Linked DNA regions of Oryzias latipes. The protein of the gene in region 2 interacts with the protein of the main gene of each other region in a pairwise test. Links are inferred from orthologs where the notes say so. Each region holds a gene or a part of one and is shown on either strand. Other genes may lie near its edges.

Region 1 (3,754 bases), about 4.1 Mb from region 2:
GCTCCTCATGCTTTTTAGCACCTCAAGAGCTCCTATAAAAATCAGAATTTGACATAAATAGACATGCACCAACACCTGGAAACACCAGATTATGTGTGACTTACTTTCATACAAGCCTTTAATGAATAACATGTCTATAGCAATGTTAAAAGAGGTTGTGTCGAGGAAAAATCCTTTCAGATTCTGAAACGAGAGCAAGCTTTCAGTCCAAAACCGTTTATATTTCACATAAACATGTGGAACTTTTGGGGCTTTGATGACTCATGTTCACCTTATCTGTAAGAGCTGAAGCAGCCATTTCTTCCAGGCCGAACTCGTAGCAAAGTCTCATGAAAAGAGGACCAAACTTAAAGTCTCCGTACATCAAGTTCCGATTTTCTGCATAGTATCTTTGGAAAAAAGATCAGATGTTAACAGTCCAGATTTCTGACAGGTAATAAAACAAAAAAAAAAACAAAAAAACGTTTGCATGATCTGTTGATGTAGAATTGTGTGCAGTGTACCTATAAATGGCATCTCTGGCTACCACCATGTCATCTAAAGACTGGCACAGGTGAAGGAGGAGCTTCAGTTCATCCCGCAGAACCAGCTCATTTCTCTGCATTTTCTGTCTGAACAGCTCGATAAAATTACCTGTGAAATTAGGTTTGAAGGTAAGTTTGTTGAAGGAAAACTGCAACTGATCAGCAATGAGAAATAAAGCTTCTCACCTTCTGTTCCAGAGACGAGATGAGCCACAGCCAGCTTCCTCTGCTGGAAGTCCTGCAGTTTGACAATATCTTCCGACAGCAAATGTCTCTTAGCTACAGAAAAACACATGAAATGAAGGAAATGTAGGTCAAATGATGTCTTAAAAAATAAAATTCAAACTGGGAATGGTCACTTTTATACACCCCACATTTAGCATTAGGTGATTTTTCCACCCCCCCAAGATCTTAAATGGCATTTTACAGCATTTGTTTTAAAAATGATCTTAGTAAATAGATACAATTAGATTAGATTAGATAAAACTTTGATCGCACAGTGGAGAAATTGCTTTGTTACCATACCATTACCAAAAAATAAAAAGAACAGACAACATAATAAATAGGAGCAAAAATGCAATAAATAAGAACAATAATATTACTAACAACAAATTATAGCCTTGAATGAGCTAAACTAAAAAAGAACACTGACTTCCTGTTTGAAGCTGATTTAAAAAAAAAAACAGGGTTCCTCACATAAATCCTAGCAAGGTTGCTTTTATTCACAACAGAATCAACACACATCAACTTTTCTTCCAACTCTTCTTTTGTATTAGTCACATTTAACATTTATTATCTATGAAAAAGAGCAACATATTCTAATTTTCAAATATTGTTGAGCCTAAAAGAGGCTGTGAGCTTCTGATTGACAGGCGCACCCTCAATTATGTGAGGCTGTAGCAGTGAACTCTCAGTTCAAGTTGATGTTATTTCTCATGTTTTTGGTTAATTCATTGAGTCCAGTTCGAGTTTGTCTTTATTCTTATTTACATGAAGTGAGGTAGAACCTTTAGGATTAGGCTTCACCTTCTTTTGTCTCACTCATCACAATAAAACACTCCAGAGCAGAGTGACCTTCACTCAGCATCTGCAGGTCTTCTCGCTGGATGACTCTGATCTACAAAAACCCCCTTAAAAGGTCTCTTCTACAAAGGTCAAGAGGTCACGACGATCTTCGTTCCTCTGACTGACATTCATCATTTTCTTGTTTCTCGGGTCAGGACCAATATGGAGAAACAGGCTTCTGGTTTGGCTGCATCTTCTGCTCAGATGAAGCTGTATCATTTTATGTCTTAGTGCTTTATTTTTGAACATTAAACAAAATTCCACAGAGCCATTTGAACAGTGTTTGTGTTTCTAATTTGTTACTCTTCCATTTGTTGACTATTCAACCCCTAAACACTTGTTTTGTGTGTTATGCTCAAATGTGTTTCCTTTAACAGTTCTATTTTTTTAATTTGTGTTTTATTGTTTACATGTTTTGTTGTACCACGTCAACCACCAACTTCTTGGCCAGGTTGCCTTTAAAAAACAGATTTACAGCTCAGTGACTATATGTTTAGTCTTTGCCAAAGTCTAAAAGTAAAGTCTTGATTCAAAATTTTGAAGACACGTGACCTGCTGGTTTGGAACATGCGATCTTCTTTTTACCAAAAACCGAACAAAAACAAATGCTTTGAAAACAGCTAAATGTTTTAAAACACAGCACTTTTCCCACTTACAATTATTAGCAAAAAAACATAATTTGATTTCAGACAAAATACAGTTATTTAGCATACATTTTTCACAGAGTTATATTCAGTGAGTGTCCCCTGCACAGCACAGCTAGTTGTGCGCATGCTCTGAATGTTCTCTCTAGGATTTACATTTCTCTCCTGTTCACTCACACGATTCAGCATTTAGTTTTTCTTACCTACAACACAGCTTTGAATCCAGCCCGGAGCTAAAACTCCACGAAAACGTCCTTGAAAAGGCTCAAACAATAATGACCGACAATATTTGGCTGCCAGTCTCCCAACGAGCGCCATGTTGCCAAAGGACTGTACCATCGAGGCGAAACCCAGAGGGGTGTTGTGGCAAAATATGAATTAATTCAAAGTAATTTGTTCACCCCTTAAATCACATTCTTGAAGTATTAGAATAGCTTTTTAGTGGGCCCCTTAGTTTTTTAAACTAAATAAAGGACAATCTTGTTTGTTTTCGTATATTATAAGATCGCAGTTTTTGTTTTGGATCATCTAAACGGATTCACTACAAATATAATCCATCCAATTTAATTTATTTTCACATTTTTTAATTTTCATTATTTTTACTGCTGATATAAGTTTACGGCACAAGGTAACTCAAAAGCCTTGTTACTATTTGACCAGCAGAGGGCGATGTTGTGTAAAACAAACACTGGGAGTTTGCATTCACATTGCACTGTGATATAAGTACTTAAAACCCCAAATGAAAAAGGACAATTCAACCATTACAAGAAGTAAAATCAAAGTTTAATTTGGTTTTCTCTTGCTTCATTGTCATATAACATTGTGAGTTTGTTGTGAAAACATTTGTTTTTATTGGAATGCATGCATCATTCATTTTGTGATCCTTTTTATTGTGCACATGTTTTAATGATGTTTAACTCTGCAGATGAGAACAATCTCTTTAAAACGATTATTTCCTGTAAACATTCATGATAAATATTGAGACACAAAGAAAATGACATGGCTCAGGGAGGTTCCCCTTCAGTTACCCTAGCAACACAATCTCAGCCTCCTCCGCCAATCAGAAGCCAAACCCTAGATAATTTATGGTTTCCTGCAAGGTGCAAGAGGCTCTTGTTAAATTTTTCTCTCCTTCTACATTTGCATGTTTACAAGGATATTAAGGCCCCTGCACACTGATCATTTGTATTTCCACATCAGATCGGGACTTCGGTTTGCAACAGGTCATTTCGGGTTGCTCAAACCAACAGGAAGAAAAAAATCACAGTGATGTTTGCAGGGGAATTGCGTATCACACAGTCTCTGATTTGCTCTGACAAGCAGCCAGGTTGTGCAGACAGACTGGAGCTCTTACATCTTTTTTGATTTGTCCTCACATGCACTTCCCTTAGCTTTTGGAAAGCGCCCCGGGTGTCCCATGGTGATTAATAACTGTCGACACTGGAACAGTTTTAGAACAGAACTAAAACAGCTGGTACTGATGGTTGGTTGTGCAGCAGTTGTGAAGTCATTGCACCTAAA
Region 2 (3,679 bases):
AAAAATTGATCAAGGACGTTAAAAACAAAACGATGGATGATCATTTAAGAGTTCTATTGACTGGGAAGAAGTCAGTGCTCTCCAAGGCTTTCATGCTAGTTTTCAAAAATGATTTTCTTAATTACAGAAACTTTAAGTTGCGCTGAACATTATTCATTAAACAAAATAAACGTAGTGCATGGGCAACAGGGTTTTAATGTAGATTTTGTTGCCTACATCCTGTTGTGTACAATGTGTTGGCAATAGAAAACATTGGTAAACAGGAAAGCTGCTGCTTCAATTGTCGCCATTACCAAAAAACATAGGTATGCCATTTCGAGAAATACATCAAAATAAAATATGCATACAGTATCTTGTGCATATGCTTGTGTTTTCACAGTTACATTTCCTTTTACCTTTAAGATACATCAAAGGTTAGTGAAAATTCTAGTTTTCTATTATTCTTTAATGGTGGCACCAATGCTCCATCGGCCTATACAGTTAATGTGATTATAAAAGGTTTTCGGTTTGAAAAAAAAGAGAAAAGTTCACAATAAACAACAATTTCTCAGCATAAACATAAGAAATAAAGACTAAAATCTAATTTAGGCATGAGTGGAAAAACCAGGAGAGTATTTTTAATGTTTGGATCATAAATATTTATTGCACTCTGATGATCAACATTACAAACATGAAGTGGAGTACATGTGTTCAACATTTCTAACAGTGTTGTTTCTAAAGAACATAAAAAAAGACAAGAGTTTGGTTCATTGCAGAAGGAAAAAAAAAAAAACACCACCAGAGATCAGTAGTACGAGATGACATCTATGTCAAATTAAACAAATTCAGATTATGGTATGCGAGACACTTAAACGTTCACCACACTGACACAAGGACACTTGATTTAATGCAGCTTTCTCTCTTCATCTATTGTAATGACTGCATTTATAATTACTACTCTGATTATCAGATGGCATGTGGGGAATACTAAAAGTATACATGGTACAACCTAAATCAAATCTATGATCTAAAAGAAAAAGCACAGAGGAAATACCCATGGTGAGTTTGACACTTGAGCTTGTTTTTGAATTTCGCTTTACGTCTTTAAGCAGATTATACAACAACAAAAAAGAAATAAAGCTTTAGTCCATTTTTATACACGTCAGGCTCCAATACAGTTAAGGTCAGCTTGGTGTAAAGAAAAACCTACAATTAGAAAAAACATGTTAAAGATGAAACTGGGTCAGAAGAAAATAGAATCTGACTTCAATTAAGTTGTAATGTGATCTTTAAATTAATCAAAATGTTTATAGTTTTCTTTGCAAACTAATGAATATTAATGAACAACAAATTTCAAGTTGAACCCCAAAGCACTAGAAACCAAAATAGCTGTTTCAGATGAAAACTCCTAACTCAAACAAAATCTTAAAAAGAAATGTTATTCCTTTAAGTAATTTTGGAGTTTGAATATTCCTTAAGGTGACCATAAACTTTTTCCAACAGAAACTGGGATTTTCTTTAGGGATGGACACAGTAGCACACAACTACTTCCCGTTAAGGGGGAAAAAAACAGTAGTCATAAATGCAAAAGAGGTCTATGATTAAGCAGATTTGATGAAATACAGGCAGATTAGCCTATTCAGCTTAAACCAAAATTGACTTTTGAGCATAGACAGAAGAATAGAAGAATATCACATAAACAGGGCAGTGTTGGCATTAAATAACATCTCAATAGTGCACAAAGAACAAAAGCCCAGCGCAAAAGGAACTTAAACACGACCCCATTGTTGCTAATGACCCGTAAATAAAGGCATTGCAATAGAAATGGGCGTCTTATTGGTTAGGCAGATCCTTGTATTGTTCTCCATGTGTAATCATTTAGCATGGAAGACATGTTTAAGATGCAGCTGTGGTTGCTTTGAATGCTTGAGATCAGAAATAAACATGAACACAGAAACATCTTACTAAGTGTTGACTTTCAAATCACACAGATCATAAAATGCTTAAGGAAAAAAAAACATCACAAAAACTCTTAAAATGACTAAATGTATTAACTGTAGCTTTGAAGCATGTCTATACATTATTTTTAAATGTGCTCATCACTATAATAAAAGGGCTAAAGTCTATTTTTTATTTCTATTGATAAGGCAGTAATTTATTTGTGTTGATCTCTTAGGCAGAACACTGCTCCATGGCAAAAAAAAGTATACATTTATAGACTGGTATATGATATTCCTAATATAATTCCTAAGCATAACAGTAAAAAAAACAAACTGAAAATAATGTATAAAAGTTGAAATAGCCTCAGAGTTAGCTTTTTCAAACAAAACATTTTCTTCCTCTAACTTTGCATGCTGCAATGCAAAATATAAATCCATGTAAATTCCTAAGGTTTGGATTTTGCAGGACCTTTTTTCTTTTATTTTCCTGAAGCAAATTGGTAGTTATTGTTCCCTGACTGTTGCTGGTATCTGGTTTCATACTGCCTTTAGATCAATTGCACAAAACTTTAAAAGCCACAGACTGAGTGTGCTACTAGACCCTAATGCTATAGGACACAGTGAGGTGTCGGTAATAAAGTGCTTCATCGGGCAAATGCCTGAATATGCTTTATTTTATACATAAGTACAAGTTTAATTTGAGCTTCTCTTCCAGGGGTTTTGTGCAAAGCTACAAACAAAACCAAAAAATCCCATGAAGGGTTCAACTGATAGTCGGGCTAAAAAAATGGAAATGTGGCATCAAATAGCAGAGGAAAGGAGTTTTCTCTGCACCTTGAAAAGCCTTTGACAGCAGCAGCAGCATCCTTTGCTTGTAGTGCGTTTGATCTAAACATGCACTGGAAATGCAAAGGATTTGGTGCAATACTATATATACTTTACAACTGAAATGAAAAAAAAGCAACCTTAGAATTTTGAAAATGTCTTGATTTTCTAAACCCATTTTCAAACTGAAGCTAGATTAAAATATGTTTAATTTGAAGGTTATTTGTTTTTGTTTCTTCTTTCAATACAGACTTCCTCCTTTCATTACCAAGTTAGGAATCTGTCAGTTGTTTTAGGAAGTGGAAGAATGCCTCCTTTGAATGTAGGTAAAGACTTTGACACAGTGGTCCCAACAATCCAGGACGAGCAACTGTCCTTTGTGAGTGGTGGCCACGCCCACAGGGCAGGTCAGCCCGTCCTGGATGAGAACATTGAATCCACCTTCTTTGGGGAACTGCAGGATTTCTTTTCTCCCGCTGTCTGTAACAAGCAGATCCCCGTTGGCATCCACACACATTCCAGTGATGCACCGAAAGTCTTCTGCCTCAGAAAAGAAATGGCTGAGCTGTTTGCCGAGCTGGCCGTCCGTGCCAACTGAACCAATCGAGAAGCCCCCCTCCAGGTGGGGCTCATTCTGACGCTTCTCGAAGTTCAGAGCCAGGCCCTGAGTAAAATAAACTGTTCCTGCTGCATCGCATGTGACAAACTTGGGGCGGACAGCAGAGCACAGTCGGTTGTAGCTGACCACGCCCACGTTGCGGTCCACTGCAAGACACCATAACTTTCCCCCCTCCACGTCTGACACTACAAACTGGCCCGATGGCATGGCTGTGATCCCCCAGGGCTTTATCAACTGGTTCTTGTGGCAAGCAATGCAGTGCCCATCCATAGTGTACACTTTGACAGAGTTGTCGTAGTTATCGGTGACACCAATC

The links.
Region 1: the proteins of trim32 (region 2) and ptcd2 interact in binary tests that used the Homo sapiens proteins (3 or more experiments, as listed by UniProt). The two-hybrid records come from large-scale screens. The link is inferred for Oryzias latipes from reciprocal best matches to the Homo sapiens genes TRIM32 and PTCD2.

Annotation. Positions count from the first base shown.
Region 1 is NC_019870.2:7,528,910-7,532,663, reverse strand, and holds the start of ptcd2 (pentatricopeptide repeat-containing protein 2, mitochondrial), read right to left. Parts: upstream 2,578-3,754; 5' UTR 2,573-2,577; coding exon 2,437-2,572; intron 804-2,436; coding exon 711-803; intron 634-710; coding exon 504-633; intron 390-503; coding exon 272-389; intron 184-271; coding exon 105-183; intron 33-104; coding exon 1-32. UniProt on the Homo sapiens protein: Involved in mitochondrial RNA maturation and mitochondrial respiratory chain function.
Region 2 is NC_019870.2:11,625,881-11,629,559, forward strand, and holds the end of trim32 (E3 ubiquitin-protein ligase TRIM32), read right to left. Parts: coding exon 3,037-3,679; 3' UTR 615-3,036; downstream 1-614. UniProt on the Homo sapiens protein: E3 ubiquitin ligase that plays a role in various biological processes including neural stem cell differentiation, innate immunity, inflammatory resonse and autophagy.